Linked DNA regions of Sus scrofa. The protein of the gene in region 2 purifies or fractionates together with the protein of the main gene of each other region. This does not show direct contact. Links are inferred from orthologs where the notes say so. Each region holds a gene or a part of one and is shown on either strand. Other genes may lie near its edges. The genes, in order: CORO1C, ACTR2, ARPC1A and CHURC1.

Region 1 (4,164 bases), on a different chromosome or scaffold from region 2:
AGACTCTTGCCTGTAGAATGGATTAGCAATGAGATCCTGCTGTATAGCACTGGGAACTGTATCTAGTCACTTGTGATTGAGCATGATGGAGGATAATGTGAGAAAAAGAATATATATACGTATGTGTGACTGGGTCACTTTGCTGTACAGTAGGAAATTGATAGAACACTGTAAACCAACTATAATGGAAAAAATAAAATTATTAAAAAACAAAACAAAGATGCCTTGCTTTGGGCAAGCAAGCCCTATCCTTTCAGATGGTCTGCTTGGTCATTTCAGTTCATCAGGCCCAGTTTCTCCAAATATTGGCATTTTAGAACTTGGTTTTTGAGAAATGATCTCTGGTTATAAAGAGGAAAACTTCATGCTATAGATGAAGAAATTCAGGCCAAGAGGACGAAGGGAACTGCCCCAGGATACACAGTCTGACTGCAGCAGAGAAAGAATCTCGGTGCTCTTTTAAGCTTGGGCTGCCCAGTTATTAAGTGAGGGACTTTGGCCAGGAAGAGGAAGGGAGGGACCCTATATCCTTCATTTCCTCACCTGCGAAATGGGGTCAAGACCTTAAGGCCCTCCTGTGTAGTGGTGGGGGATGTTGGTGTGGTACAGCACCGGGACCCCCACTTTGTGCTAGCGAAGTGACCAAATATAGTGGAAGGGGGAGCATAACGTCGGGAGTCCACAAAAGTGGTTGGAGGGTGCAATGGCAGCAGAGGCGGAGCTTCGGGAACCAGAGGCGGGGACTCGAGAATTCTGGGCGGGGCTTGGAGTTTTAAAGCTGTAAAGCGGGCAGTGGGCGGGACTTGAGATACCGCGAATAGGGTTGCTAGGCTATGGGCGGGGCTTCTAGAAGTTGGGGTGGGGTTTGTGACGACAAGGGGCTGGTTATGAAGGAATGAGAGAGTAGTTGGGCCTAGGGATCCAGGAGGCTGGCGAAGGGTTTGGATGGGGCAGTGGGCGGGGTGCACAGCAGCTGATGTTCTGGTTTTAAGAGACTCGGGGGGAATTTTTGAGGAGCCGGGGGATGTGGCCTTCCAGAGCCAAGCAGGTCAGTGGGCGGAGCTCTAAAGGACACCACTCCTGGTCCTGAGGAGCAGTGGGCGTGGCCTTTCGGCCACTGAGAGGACTAGTGGGAGGTGCGTGCGCTTGGGCACCGCCTTCCTCCGCGGTCCACCTGCATACCTCGGCACGACCAGAAGCGGCGCTAGGGAGAGTAAGGCGTGGAACACAGGCTGGGAAGCGGGCTTCCCCTCCCGGAAGTGGGCGTGGCGCGCCGTAGCCGGGCAGCCCTGGTTGGACGCGGTGCGGCGCGGGGGCGGGGCCTGCGTGCAGCGGCGGGGGCGGGGGCGGCTGTCCGCGCCCCTCCCCCGCGCGGCGCTCAGTGCCAGGCGGGAGGCGGTAGCGGTTGGAGGCTACGCCGGGCTTTGCAGCGGGGACTTCGGCGGCGGCGCCTCAGGCACCTCGGCCCTGGTGAGCTGCGCGCGCCCGGCGGGGCAGCTTGGGAACGAGCTGGGCGGGCGGACAGACCCTGTCCTCTCAGCATGTGCTGGCGCTGGCTGACAGGAGCCGGCGGGGCGTGGGGCAGGGCCCGGTGGAGAGGACAGGGTTAGCTGGAGTGGTCGCGCGCGGCGCGGATCCTTGGGCCAGGAGCCCGCTTGGGCGGGTGTGCTGGGGCCAAGGGGTCGGGGCTGCTGCGGGAGCCTTGGGATTTGGTTGGGAAAGGAGTTGGGGACCGAGGTGCCCAGAATGGGGAGAGTGAACCCGGGTCCTTATGGTGAGGAAGCTGCCCAGGGGAGACTTTTAGGGGCCCAGAACCCTTCTGGCTGGTGAGGAACCGAGCAGGGACTCGGTTACCCTGGGAGGTTTTTAGGGGTCAGGGATCCGCCTGGTTGGGTGGCGTCTTGAGTGGGGAGGGGCTGCCAGAGGCTAGGGCGCAGGGCCAGGGGGCTCCAGGCCTGGGGGCGGGGCTTGAGTCGCCCTGGGGAGCTAGGGGGTTGGGGGGTGGCCCTGGGCTGGGCTCACGTGGGGCCGGGACGTGCTGGGCCTTGCTTAGGAGGGGCGAGGGCGGCGGTCTGGTCTGGGGGTTTCCTACTTTGGGGTACGAGCTGGGCTCTGGGCCCTTAATAGCTGGATTGGGGGTCGAGGAGGGCGGGGCGGGGCAAGAGCTGGAGTGATGTGGGTGGGGGCGGCTTGGGAAGAGGATAAGCCCATGGTGGGAGCGCTGGGCTGGGAGGGGGCGAGGGTTGGGAGAGGAAGAACGGGGCTGGAACGCTATAGGGTCGGGGGCCTGGAGCGTCCGCTTGGACCCAGGATTCAGAGATACGCTCCCCTAATAGCGGAGCAGCTGGCGAGGGACGCAGCAAAAAGGAGCGCGGTGCAGGTGGGGCTCCGCTGCGCCTAAATGACTGAGGATGAGCTCAGATGTTGAGGGTGGAAATGCAGAACCGAGCCCTCCCGCCTGTGCGTACGGGCGCGCAAGCACCAGCTCTCCGTCTCTCAAATGATTTGAATGTGTTGGGGGAAGTGGCAGGCTGCGGGGGAGCCGAGAAGAAAGGGGCTTCCTCTTGGAGGGAGGCGCTGGCCCTGCCGTCCTTTTTTGGGAGTGTTCAAAGGGTTTTGGTCTCTGGAAAAGGAAACGTAGCTTTACTGCATCGTGGTTTAGAATCACATCCTATATTTGGCCTTAATGTAGGCTGTCCTTGTTTTGTGGTGTCTGAAGTCCTTGCTCTACATGTTGCAAACGTGGGATTCAGTGTAAGAAGCAAATTGCAAGTTGCTCATCTCCCCCAGGAGAGCAAGATACGAAGGCCTTTCTTTCCTATGAGACATTTAAATGGAATTGAATATAGTATGTGTTTGTCAACTGGTACTGGGTGGCGAATGTGTTTACTTTTGGAAATAGTTACCACAAAATATTAGGCCCTCTCACCACTGCCTTCCTGCCTGGAATTACATTCTAAAGCAGTACTTGTACGGCTCTTAGTCACTCTATATAATAATGCATTTCATTGTCCTTATCTGGCAGAACTCTCTCCTGACACCAGGGCTTGCTAGAATAGACAGAAACATGATTAAGTATAAGCAGTTGTTTTGTACCATCTGTTCAGTTGTGAAGGCAAATATCTGTTCATGTTACTTCACTTTCTGCATTTCCTATAAAACCGAAGAAATGAGAAATGTCTTATTTGGGACTTGATTCTGTATATTTCAGAAAACTAATTTAAGGAAACTAATTTTTTTTTTTTTTTTTTTTTTTTTTTGGCTTGGAGGTACATTTCAGGGTCGCAGTGTTTGGATATGAAGCCTAATAGTAACTGTTGGGTCTGAGAGGTTGCCTAAATAAATAGGAGGGTAAAGTGAAATCATGCTAGGAATTGTATTGTATATTAGACCTCAGAGTGCAGTCTTTTTTAGTAGATGTTAGTCTCTGTGTACTGAGGATTGAACAAAGATTATTATAAAGGTTGAGTATGCACCTTTTTGACATACCCGGAATGTGCTCTGTCCATATTTGTTTTTAATTATTTGTGGAAAGTGCATTAAAGCCTGATGGAGTCTAATAGACACATACCAATGAGATATCACTGCATACAGTATTGAATTTTTCATGATCATTTGTTACTTTGCCTGCAGATTGTGCTAATCAGCAGTTGTGTCTAATACTTTTATGTATAATTTGGGATTAGTTTCAAGTTGACAAATAGGACTTTTGGTGTGTATTGCTACTGTATCATTTTTTTTAATTGGGGTATAATTGACATGTAACATCATACTAATTTCAAGTGCTCAATTTAGTAATTCAGTATTTGTGTACACTGTGAAATGACCACCACAATAAGTCTAGCTACCATTTGTCACCATACAAAGTTATAATTTTTCTTTGTGATGAGAACTTCTAAGATTTGTTCTCTTGGCAACTTTCAAATATACAGTATACTATTATTGAGTATAGTCCTCATGCATCCATTACATCCCATGACTTAGTTATTTTAAAATTGGAAGTTTGTACTTGACTCCCTTCACCCATGCCCCCCACCCATGACAGATAACTTTTTAAATACCTAGACGTTTTGTTTTTTTAATGCTTGGATTTTTTTGATTTAGGTTTTATGCTAACACGTTTGTCACTTTTGAGATTCACTCCAGCTATAGGAGAGTCACTCA
Region 2 (4,094 bases):
AAAGAACAAAGTGAAACTGAAAGGCAGTCTAGTAGTATAATACTGAACTGGGGATTCATGATCCAAGTTTTAGTCTTATTATATCTTTACAGGGAGGAAAGGCACAATTCTAGTCCTCACCTCTCAAAAATGATGACTTTTTTCTAGATGAATTGTAATGTCGTTTGTCCAATAAATACATTCTTGGAAAAATAACAGCAAAGAGTAAAGAACATCTCAAAGATTATCTGTAAAGTCTTCAAAGATGTGACTACTGAGTTTGAGAGCATGAGAAGTCCTCTGATGGATTAAAAAGAAATAAGTAGGGACACTACAGAGAGAACTTCACGTTTAAGAGTGTAGAACACGCTTACTCTCTGCTCAGAATTTTATCTCCACAACTGATGGAAGTAAATGTTATTATCCCCATGCATTTACAAGGCTATGCCCAGATCACATAATTCTTGAGTGGCAGGGCCATATTTGAAAATGGGATTGTCTGATGTCAAAACAGAAACTCTGGGTTCAAAGACGTACAGACACAGAAGAGGTACGAAGCAACATGGTGCTGTTGGGAGGGAAGTGGTGATCGATGAGGCTCACTTTCGCTCATTTTACTAAAGGCGAATCGAGCAAATATGAGTTGAGTTGGAATTGGCATAAATGCATGATTTCACGTGTGTATACCCACCCCGGCTCTGTCCACTGAAAAGGTCTAGAAAGCAATGACACACCAAGCCTTGTTCAAAGGTGGGTTAGCAAAAATGTCTAGGTTTACTCCCGCCTCCCGCCCTCCTGGCAAGCTTCTCTATCACAACCCGCTGCCGTCCCTCGACGGACCCGGTGTCCTTCGTCTGCCTGCTCCTTCTGCAGCCGGGTAAGCGGCGCCCTTAACTCATGCGAAGCCTGGGGGTACCATTACGGCCCCGGGAGGCGCCGGTAACAAGACGAGGACAGGAAGAACCTGGTCGGGCGGCGACCGTGAAGGTGGAGCTGGAGCCAGAGGAGGAGCCGGCGACGTGGGCGGGGCCTCGGGCTTCTTTGTTTCTTATTGGAGCTCGCCATTGCCAGTATCTGCCTCCTCCCTCCCATCCCCACCTCTTCCGCACAGGCAGTCTGTTAGGTGGCGGGCGGGGCCGGGCGGCCACTTCCGGTTGGGGGAAGAAAGTTGGGACGAAGGAGGGGCCGGGAAGAGGGCGGAGGAGGAAGAGGAACCCGGCGGACGGAGGCGGCTGTAGGTTGTTCAGCGGCGGCGGCGGCTTAGGCGCTCTTTCCGGTGGACGATGGACAGCCAGGGCAGGAAGGTGGTGGTGTGTGACAACGGCACTGGGGTAAGCGCTCGGCGGGGAGGGTACGGCGGCCACAGGCCCAGGCGGGGATGTGCTGGCGGCTCGCGGGCCCTTGGCGCCGGGGGCGGCACCTTTGGGCCCCCGGCAGCCGGAGCCCAGGGGCGCGGGACAGCACTTCCTGCCTCCGCGGTGTGGGGCGCGAGCGGGCGGGGCCCTTTGGGTCCCCGAGCCCACCACTCCAGCATCTCGGGGTCGAGACGGCTGGCCAGGCTGGCGGGGGATGGATGGGGTTCCCACCTGCCGCCCCACCGGGGTCGGCTCTGCGCTTGAGCCGCGGCGATTTGGCTGAAGGGCCGGAGGGGGTAAAAGGCTGGGTTTGTGTGCTGCAGAAGGGCTCCTGTCCCCAGGGTCGCCGGTATGTAAAAAGGAGAACGACCAAGAGGCCTTCCTCTTCCTGTGTAGTTGAAGATACGGAACGGGAGGCAGGAAACGAGTTTAAAGAAAAAAGGGAAGTGCTGTCATGCAATGAACCCTAGTCCTTTGGTAGTGTTTGAAGCTTTTGGGTTTTTGGATTTTGATTTCTGAGGGTAGGGGAAGCCAGTTCGGCAGCGAATCATTTACTTTTTGTTCTGCATGCTGGAAATTTGGCCCAGGTGCAGCATCGCAGAGACCAGCATGTTTCAGTGGATGATCTTAAACCCCTGAAGTCCCGAGTATTAATTCCACTAACCTTAGGGGAAGTTAATCAGTTTGGGTACCCCTCCTCCTCTCTTTCCTTACTTGAAGGATGAGATAATGTTAGTATTTAAGATTCTAAAAGGAAAATCATTGTAAAAATCTGAGAGGAACACTGACAAGTAATTTGAAAGTTGTCTCATTCAATCGCCCTCTTCCTTATTTAAAAAATTGTATTTGGGCAGCAAAACTAGCAAATTAGAAGACAAAAATGTCACTTATTTTAGATGAGTTCTGTAGTGATCACTACATTACAAAAATTTCTAATCATTTTGGAGTTGCAATGTTTTGTGACTCTTATCCCCTTCCTTCGATAAATGTAACATTGTGAGTTAAAATCGATTTTATTTCAACTTTAAAGCAGTTTGGAAACTGGATTGTTGAGGGGAAAGAAGAGCTGATATTCACTTCAGTAATACTGACCTTGATTGAATTTGTTACAGTCTTTTACAAGCAATAATTATACCAACTTTATCTGAACTGAGTTAAAAAACAGATAAGAGAGACTTCCCGTCCTGGCCCAGAAGTAACAAACCTGACTAGTATCTATGAGGATGTGGGTTTGATCCTTGGCCTTGCTCAGTGGGTTATGGATCCCGTGTTGCCATGAGCTGCAGAGTAGGTCGTACACTCGCCTTGGATCCAGCATTGCTGTGGTGTAGAGGGGCAGCCAGAACTCTTAATTCAACCCCTAACCTGGGAGCTTCCATATGCTGCAGGGGCAGCCCTTAAAAAAAAAAAAAAAAAATTTACCACAATTCCATTTATGTGCTCTTTATTAAAATATTTATGTGTCCACAAATGTGTATGTGTATGTGAAATTTTGAAGGGATTCATAAGAAATGTATGTTCATAGCAGTTACCTGTGGAGACTAGGAATGAGAGTGAGGTAAGGTGGGAAGGACTTCATGACTTCTGAATTATTGGAAAAATGTTCTTGGTGGTTGTTTTTTTTTTTTTTTTGTCTTTTTTTTGGTTTGCCATTTTAAGGGCCACTCCCCGAGGCACATGGAGGTTCTCAGGCTAAGGATTTAATCGGAGCTGTAGCCGCTGGCCTACGCCAGAGCCACTGCAAGGCGGGATCCGAGCCGCGTCTGCTTCCTGCACCACAGCTCACGGCAACACTGGATCCCCAGCCCACTGAGCAAGGCCAGGGATTGAACCCGAAACCTCATGGTTCACAGTTGGATTCGCCAACCACTGAGTCACGACGGGAACTCCTGTCCTTGTTTTTTTTAACAAAACATATATTGCTACCTTTAAATGAAATTAACTAGAAGCAGGTATTACTTTTACAGTTCAAATTCAGTTAAAGGTGCAATATTTAAAAAATATTAGCCTGGTGCCCATTGTAGTCTCAGATTGACCTCTAAATAAATGTAAATTGGGACTTCCCTGGTGGCACAGTGGGTTAAGGATCCTGCATTGTCACTGCTGTGGTTTGGGTCATGGCTTTGGCAAGGTTTCAGTCCCTGGCCTGGGAACTTCGACATGTAGCATATGTGGCAATAAGTAAATAAATGTAAATCTTCAAAAACTGAGTTTAAAATATTTTGTCTTGTTAATATGTCAGCTTTTCTCTTTAGAAATTGAACATGGAGGAGTTCCCGTCGTGGCGCAGTGGTTAACGAACCCGACTAGGAACCATGACGTTGCGGGTTCGGTCCCTGCCCTTGCTCAGTGGGTTAACGATCCGGCGTTGCCTTGAGCTGTGGTGTAGGTTGCAGACACGGCTCGGATCCCGTGTTGCTGTGGCTCTGGCGTAGGCCGGTGGCTACAGTTCCGATTTGACTCCTAGCCTGAGAACCTCCATATGCCGAGGGAGTGGCCCAAGAAATAGCAAAAAAAAAAAAAAAAGAAATTGAACATGGATATATTTGAATGGACACCTCCTCTTTGAAGGGCAGTGAACCTGATTTTTGTAGTGTATATGAGGTTTTTTTCCATAATATTTGTTAGCAATGGGAATGTTAATCATGAGCTCTTTTTTATGTTCCTATTTCATTAGTTTATCCGTGTTAGAACTCTATTATTGATTAGTCTTATGTCTAATCCATAGTTTAAGAATCTTGTTCCTTAAGATGAAAGATC
Region 3 (3,564 bases), about 70 Mb from region 2:
ATCTGGACAGAAAACAGGCCCAAGTTCAAAGGACTCCAAAAGAGAAGCAGGGGAGGAAAAGCTCATAACTATTTCACTTTTTTTTTTTTTTTTTTGGCTATTTCTTTGGTTTTTCATCTTAGCCCTTTCTCTTTTAAAGTATTTCCTAATGCTGAAATTCCAATTTAAAATATGAGTGTTCTTCAGACTTGTGGTTGAGAGGGAAGGGAGTGGGATGGACTTGGAGTTTGGGGTTATAGTACATGCAGACGATTCCATTTGTTGCGTTCTCGCTATGTTATTATGTTTATGTTAAGTTCCCCTTACGGCTCAGAGGGTTTGATCCTGGCCTTGCTCAGTGGGTTAAGGATCCAGCGCTGCCATGAACCATACGTCACAGACGAGGCTTGGCTCTGGTGTGGCTGTGGCTGTGGCTATCAGCTGCAGCTCTGATTTGACTCCTAGCTGTCTGGGAACTTCCATATGCTGTGAGTGCAGCCCTAAAAAGCAAAAGCAAAAAAAAAAAAAAAAGGATAGGCAGTGGGGTCTTACTGTATAACACAGGGAACTATATCTCATCTCCTAGGATAGAACACGATGGAAGATAATATAAGAAAGAGAATGTGTAAGTATGACTGTGCTGTATAGCAGAAAATAGCACAACACTATAAATTAACTATACTTTAATAAAAAAATTTCCAAAAAAGGAATAAATAAATAAATAAATAAAGTGTTCTTATTTTTAGGCTGTAAGGCCACTGGCAAAGGGACTTAAAGAAAACAGGCCAAATCTAATGGAAATAAGGTCATGGGAAAGGAACAGTGACAAAAATAGAAGTTATGTCTTTGGTGCTGGTTTGGTAATAGAGTTAGTTGGCCCCCAACGAGCATCACAAACAAATCCATGGTAAAACCAAGAAGGGACGGTCATGAGTTTTTTGCTGGGGATACAATGAAAAGGTGCAGAGGGTCAAAACATGAGGTTTTTTTTTCTGATGGGGAGGAAGAATATTTTTAAACTAACTAGTATGTTGGGGGTTACAGGCAAAACTCCAGGGTCCCAATTAAAGTTTAAAAAATTACTGGAGTTCCTGCTGCAGTGCAGTGGACTAAGAATCGGAATGTAGTGGTTCGGGTGGCTGCAGAGGCACGAGTTCAATCCCCGGCCTGGTACAGTGGGTTATAGGATCTGGTGTTGCTACACCTCGGGTGTAGGTCAGCCGCAGTTCGGATTTAATCCTTGGCCCAGGAACTTCCATATGCTGTGGGTGTGGCCATTTAAGAAAAAAATAAGGAATTCCTGTTGTGGCTCAGTGGTAACTAACTTGACTAGTATCCATGAGGATGTGGGTTCAATCCCTGGTCTTGCACAGTGGGTTAAGGATCCAGTGTTGCTAAGTTGCAGACACGGCTTGGATCTGGCGTTGCTATGGCTGTGATGTAGGCCGGCGGCTGCAGCTCTAATTCAACCCCTCACCTGGGAACTTCCACATGCCGTGGTTGCAGCTCTAAAAAGACAAAATAAATAAATAAATACATAAATAAGAAAAAAAGAGTAAAGAACAAGTTTTCAATGTGCTTGGCCAAACTGTTTACAGAAGGGGTTGAATCACCGAGCCAGAAAATAGGATAAAAAAGAAATTATAGCAGTAAGGGTCAAAGAACAAGAGTTCTTCCTGAACATAGCAGTAAGTTCATGGGGTTTTTTTGTTTGTTTTTTTGCCTTTTCTAGGGCCGCACCCTCAGCATATGGAGGTTCCCAGGCTATGGGTTTCATGGGAGCTGTTGCCGCCAGCCTACGCCACAGCCACAGCAACGCAGGATCCGAGCTGTGACTGCGACCTACACCACAGCTCACGGCAATGCTGGATCCCTAACCCACTGAGCAAGGCCAGGGATCGAACCCGCAACCTCATGGTTCCTAGTTGGATTCGTTAACCACGGAGCCACGACGGGAACTCCCCTCCCCTTCTATTTATTGATAGTTTTTGTCAAAGCTGAAAGGTACTGTACAACATAGGAATCTGCCTCAGTCTTCGAGAAATCGACCAGAAAAAGATAAAACTCAATGGGAAAATGGTTAGGAGTTATGAAAAGTAAAGTCACAAAAAAGAGAACCCAGATGGCTGATAAACATCTGCTCCACCTTGCGATTCATCAGGGAAATGCCACTTACCGAGAGACCACTATTCACTCATCAGACGGTGCAAGCCTGTGTGGGACGCGGGAGGATAAACACTCCTGCTCAGAGCTGGGAGGATGGGGCCATCAGATGGCGCCCCTCCAGGCTGAAGACGTGCACACGCCCGAGGCACCCCAAGTCTCCCAGAGACAAACATTCACACACAGAGGGAGACCTGCCCAGGGACGCCTAATTTAGTACTTCCATGGAACAAGGGAAAAGTGGAAACAACTTAAATGTCCTTCAACGGAGCAAAGAGTAAGTAAATGAGGTAAGAATGCTAAGCAGTGGGTTGGAAAGGAATCACCTTGCTCTGGATACGCCTACTTACAGAGAGCTCAGAAACAGTGTCAAAGGAAGCTGCAGGAGAGGAATGATATGATGCCATTTATGCAGTATTTAAAAATAGGAGCCAATAGTACCAAAGCTTGTTCACACACACACACACACACACACACACACACACACACACGAGAGACAATGTCATCCCAAATTACAGACTGCCTTCTGGGGGAGAAGGACAGGACTGGTGCCTTTAATCATAAGGAACAATACTCCTTATGATTAAATCGTTGTTTCCTAAGTTTAGTTTTCTGGCACAGGAAAAAAGATAAGCAGCTGCTAATTCTGGGTGGCAGGGATACAGGTGTTTGTCACATCACTCTTTGTCCTTTTCAATATTTTGGAATGTCTTCTTCGCCCCCAAAACAGCACCCAGGAAACTTTTGGAAGACACTGTGTTCCCTCGGGACTTGGGAACACAGCTTGGCTTGCGGTTTCCCACAGCTGACCTGCTGTCTGGTTTCCGCTTTCACGTCTCCTCTCATCTAAGCTCTTTAGTCCCCAGAGCAGGTTCAGTGTTTTCCGTAACAGTAGCAGAGCCTGTGTAAGAGCTGGGTTTCCGGATGCCCTTAGAGACTGAGATCCCTATCATGGTATTTTCTCACATTGTCTAAAGAAAACTCAGGAAATGCTGCACAACCTGAAATGTTATGGCAGCCTATTGGGCTCTTCATGTAAAGAGAAGACTGCTGAACTTGGAGACAGCACAAGCTCACGGCCATCTTCCCTTACCTGTGATGTGTCCGTTGTGCTCCTTGAGTTCGTGAGCTTTCACCCACTGGCTCCCATTCTTCTTATATATGTGGACTTCATGATTATTGGGGCTAAGGGCAATCTCTGGAGAAAAAAGTGAATGAACTTGAAATTGTCACCAAAAAAGGCACATTACAGCTGGCATTTTAAAAACAGACTGAAGGAGGGGATAGGAAAGTGGTTTTGGAAAACAGTTCCATAAGCTCCTGCTGTGGTGCGGTGGGCTAATTATCTCCCCACTACAGTGGGTGTGTCTCTGTAGAGGCTCAGGTTTGATCCCCGGCCCAGCGCAGTCAGTTACGGATCTG
Region 4 (3,564 bases), on a different chromosome or scaffold from region 2:
GGAAATAGAGATAACTTCCTTAGCACAGTTTCCATGCTTAGCAAGGATGGTGGCAGTGGGCAGGCTAACACTTAAAGCCAACAACTGTGCAATCACATAACTGGGTGGAGAAAAAAGGGGCATGATGGTAACCTCCTAAGAAGTCATAAAGTACTAGCTTTTTATAAGCAAAAATGACAGGACTGAGATATCATTTGTAAGACATGTATTGTGCTTTGTGACTCTGTGACGACAAGTTTGAATGGATCTACCCACATCTAAAATATCTCTCAACTTACACAGGTAGAAGACAAGGTTGGTCTCCTCTAGTATTTGCTAGCACTTCATTTACGAAGACTGTACCTAGATTTTTCAAGAGTATTTTTATTATCCCCCTTCCCCACAATAACATACCAAATAACGGACCCGAAATTCTATATTTACCTGAAATTCATCCATGATACTGAACGTATACTCATGCCTGGCTATGACATGATGACAATTCTTACACAGATCTGCCGAAAAAGAGAAATATTTAAATAATTAAGTCTTGGAAGGTGTCTTAAGACAGTAAAATTTCTATTCTTTTTTTTTTTTTTTTGCTTTTTAGGGCCGCACCTGTGGCATATGGAAGTTCCTAGGCTAGGGGTTGAATTGGAGCTGCAGCTGCCAGCCAACACCACAGCCACACCAACGAGGGGATCTGAGCAGCATCTGCAACCTATACCACAGCTCGTGGCAATGCCAGATTCCTCACCCACTGAGTGAGGCCAGGGATTGAACCTGCATCCTCATGGATTCTAGTCAGATCTGTTTCTGCTGTGCTATGAAGGGAACGCCTTAAAATTTCTATTCTTAACACGGCATTGCTTTAAAAGAATCTTAACTCTGTCATATTTAACACAGCGGGAAACCCATATCTACCTTTTCTCCCCCTTTATTTTTTAACTCAATGAATTTTATTACATTTATATTTGTACAATGATCATCACAACCCAATTTTATAGCATTTCAAACCCCCAACTCATCCCCCCACCCCCCAACCCATATCTACCTTGATAAGAAATCCAAAATCCATCACACAGCAATACTATATCATTAAGGTCCTGAACTCAGAGACTAAATGCGCATAAATTAATTCTCACTGAAAGCTCTCTAAGGTAATCAATTAAAAGATATGTACATGTTTTATGGGAGTTCCCACTATGGCACAGTGGAAATGAATCTGACTAGTACCCATGAGGATGTGGGTTCGATAGGTGAGTTAAGGATCCAGTATTATTATGGCTGTGGTGTAGGCTAGCAGCTGGAGCTCTGATTCAACCCCCAGCCTGGGAACTTTCATATGCCTAAGGTGTGGCCCAGGGGAAAAAACAAAGCAAAAAACAAAACAACAAACAAAAGATATATACATGTTTTTTAAACTAGCTGGACCTATTTATGTAAAACCTTTTATTCTCAGCAATACTAGAAATTGTGCTACTAACTAATCATAAACAAAAAGCCAATGCTAGACATTAAAGTGAAATTAGGAGTTCCCGTCCTGGCTCAGGGGTTAGAGAACCCGACTAGCACCCACAAGGATGCGGGTTTGATCCCTGGCCTTGCTCAGTGGATTAAGGACCTAGTGTTGCCGTGAGCTGTGGTGTAGGTCAAAGATAAGGCTCAGATCCCACATTGCCATGGCTGTGGTGTAGGCCAGCAGCTGCAGCTCTGATTGGATCCCTAGCCAGGAAACCTCCATATGTTGTGGATGCGGCCTTAAAAGACAAAAAGACCAATAAATAAGTAAATAAATAAAGTGAAACTAACAGTTAATAAAACGCTAATAAAAACATATAATAACTATAATTTACTGAGTGCTTAATGTGTGCCAGATACCATTTTAAATACTTTTTATCTGTCCATTCACTTAGTCTTCTCAACTCAAAGAGGTAGATACTATTGTTATCACCTTCCTAGGGATAAGGAGACACAGGTACACTGGGTAACTGAGAAGACTACCGAGCTAGCAAGTATTGGAACCAGAATTCAAACCCAAGCTTTCTAGCTCCAGAGCCCTTGCTCTTGACCACTGTGCTTTCCTACATGGAACAAAATAGAGTTTAAAGGGGTATCTGTTAAAACAAAGAAAATGATTCTTCTCATTTAGAACCTTTTTCCATATGTCTTTCACTTCTTTCAAAATATCATTATTTGCACATTTATTCCTCATATATATTCAAAACCAAAAAAAAAAAAAATCCAAAAAAAATAGGGGACAAGCAAAAAGGAAATTCGAACAGTTTAAATAGTCGCCACGATCTCTGGGCACTAAAGTAAACATATACTTAATTTACTCATAGAGATTCTCAGTGCCAACCTCAGAACTGATTTATTTTTTATTATACGAAGTCATTTATTTGATTTCCCAGTATCAGGGATGAGGAACAGCATATGAAGGTAGCCTATTTACAGCAGCCAAGGAAAAAAACTATAGACTGACCGTGAAAAAAGAAACAAAATGCTATAAAAGCAGAATCAAGACTGAAAAAAACCATACTATCCCAGGATCACTTAGTATAAGGCAAACATAAGCCCTAAACACTTTAATAGCTGTGGAGGCCATCATCATATTATACTATAGTAGAAAGTGAAAATTCACGTGGATGACTCTAAGGTTGAAAAAAAAAAGTCCCTCTATCTTGTTTCAGAAGCCATAAAGTCTTTAAAAATAAACAGGAGAGGAGTTCTCTTGTGGCACAGTGGGTTAAGGAACCAGCACTGTCATTGCAGTGGCCCAGGCTGCTGCTATTGTGTGCGTTTGATCCCTGGCCCAGGAACTTCCATATGCAACAGGCATGCCCCCCACTACCCCCCAAAAAAAACCCAGAAGAAAAGCTCGTGCCTGAATCATAAGCTTCAATTATCTGCAAAAGTCATTTATGTGGAATATCTGATGATGCTAGATTAATGAGGTATTCTTTCTGTTTTCCTCTTAAAAAACTAACTAGTAACTGTATTGCAATATGATATTGGAATAGACCTCATAATATTTTGCACAACCTAAGTCTCAAAAGCTGACACCTGCTAACAGACTTGGATGGAAAGAAGGCTACTTACGATCATAGGTAACTATTTCTTCTCCATCTTCCTCTTTGAAAGATTTGTTTGTGATCAGCATAAAATCCCGCTTATTGCATACTGCACAGCCTGTAAAGTTCAGCAAGAAAGATCCATTCTCCAGGCAGATGTTACCCTAAAATATGAAAAGCAGGCATTTAATTTTCTTATATTTCAAAATCCTTGGTGAAAATGATTAACAGACTTAAAATATCTAAAGGCAGGAGTTCCCGTTGTGGTGCAGTGGTTAACGAATCCGACTAGGAACCATGAGGTTGTAGGTTTGATCCCTGCCCTTGCTCAGTGGGTTGAGGATCTGGCGTTGCCATGAGCTGTGGTGTAGGTTGCAGACGCAGCTCGGATCCTGTGTTGCTGTGGCTCTGGCATAGGCCGGCGGCTACAGCTCCGATTAGACCCCTAGCCTGGGAAACTCCATATGCCACAGAAGCAGCCCAAGAAATGGCAAAAAGACCAAAAATAAAT

The links.
Region 1: the proteins of ACTR2 (region 2) and CORO1C fractionate together in Homo sapiens (co-fractionation; 3 studies listed by BioGRID and IntAct, with this or other methods). This does not show direct contact. The link is inferred for Sus scrofa from reciprocal best matches to the Homo sapiens genes ACTR2 and CORO1C.
Region 3: the proteins of ACTR2 (region 2) and ARPC1A purify together in Homo sapiens (affinity purification with mass spectrometry; 9 studies listed by BioGRID and IntAct, counting the BioPlex papers as one, with this or other methods). This does not show direct contact. The link is inferred for Sus scrofa from reciprocal best matches to the Homo sapiens genes ACTR2 and ARPC1A.
Region 4: the proteins of ACTR2 (region 2) and CHURC1 purify together in Homo sapiens (affinity purification with mass spectrometry; 4 studies listed by BioGRID and IntAct, with this or other methods). This does not show direct contact. The link is inferred for Sus scrofa from reciprocal best matches to the Homo sapiens genes ACTR2 and CHURC1.

What each region holds. Positions count from the first base shown.
Region 1 is NC_010456.5:42,061,513-42,065,676, forward strand, and holds the start of CORO1C (coronin-1C), read left to right. Parts: upstream 1-1,342; 5' UTR 1,343-1,470; intron 1,471-4,164. UniProt on the Homo sapiens protein: Plays a role in directed cell migration by regulating the activation and subcellular location of RAC1. Increases the presence of activated RAC1 at the leading edge of migrating cells.
Region 2 is NC_010445.4:76,726,266-76,730,359, reverse strand, and holds the start of ACTR2 (actin-related protein 2), read left to right. Parts: upstream 1-1,262; coding exon 1,263-1,310; intron 1,311-4,094. UniProt on the Homo sapiens protein: ATP-binding component of the Arp2/3 complex, a multiprotein complex that mediates actin polymerization upon stimulation by nucleation-promoting factor (NPF).
Region 3 is NC_010445.4:6,302,745-6,306,308, reverse strand, and holds part of ARPC1A (actin-related protein 2/3 complex subunit 1A), read right to left. Parts: intron 3,341-3,564; coding exon 3,236-3,340; intron 1-3,235. UniProt on the Homo sapiens protein: Probably functions as a component of the Arp2/3 complex which is involved in regulation of actin polymerization and together with an activating nucleation-promoting factor (NPF) mediates the formation of branched actin networks.
Region 4 is NC_010449.5:88,991,477-88,995,040, reverse strand, and holds part of CHURC1 (protein Churchill), read right to left. Parts: intron 3,218-3,564; coding exon 3,082-3,217; intron 495-3,081; coding exon 424-494; intron 1-423. UniProt on the Homo sapiens protein: Transcriptional activator that mediates FGF signaling during neural development. Plays a role in the regulation of cell movement.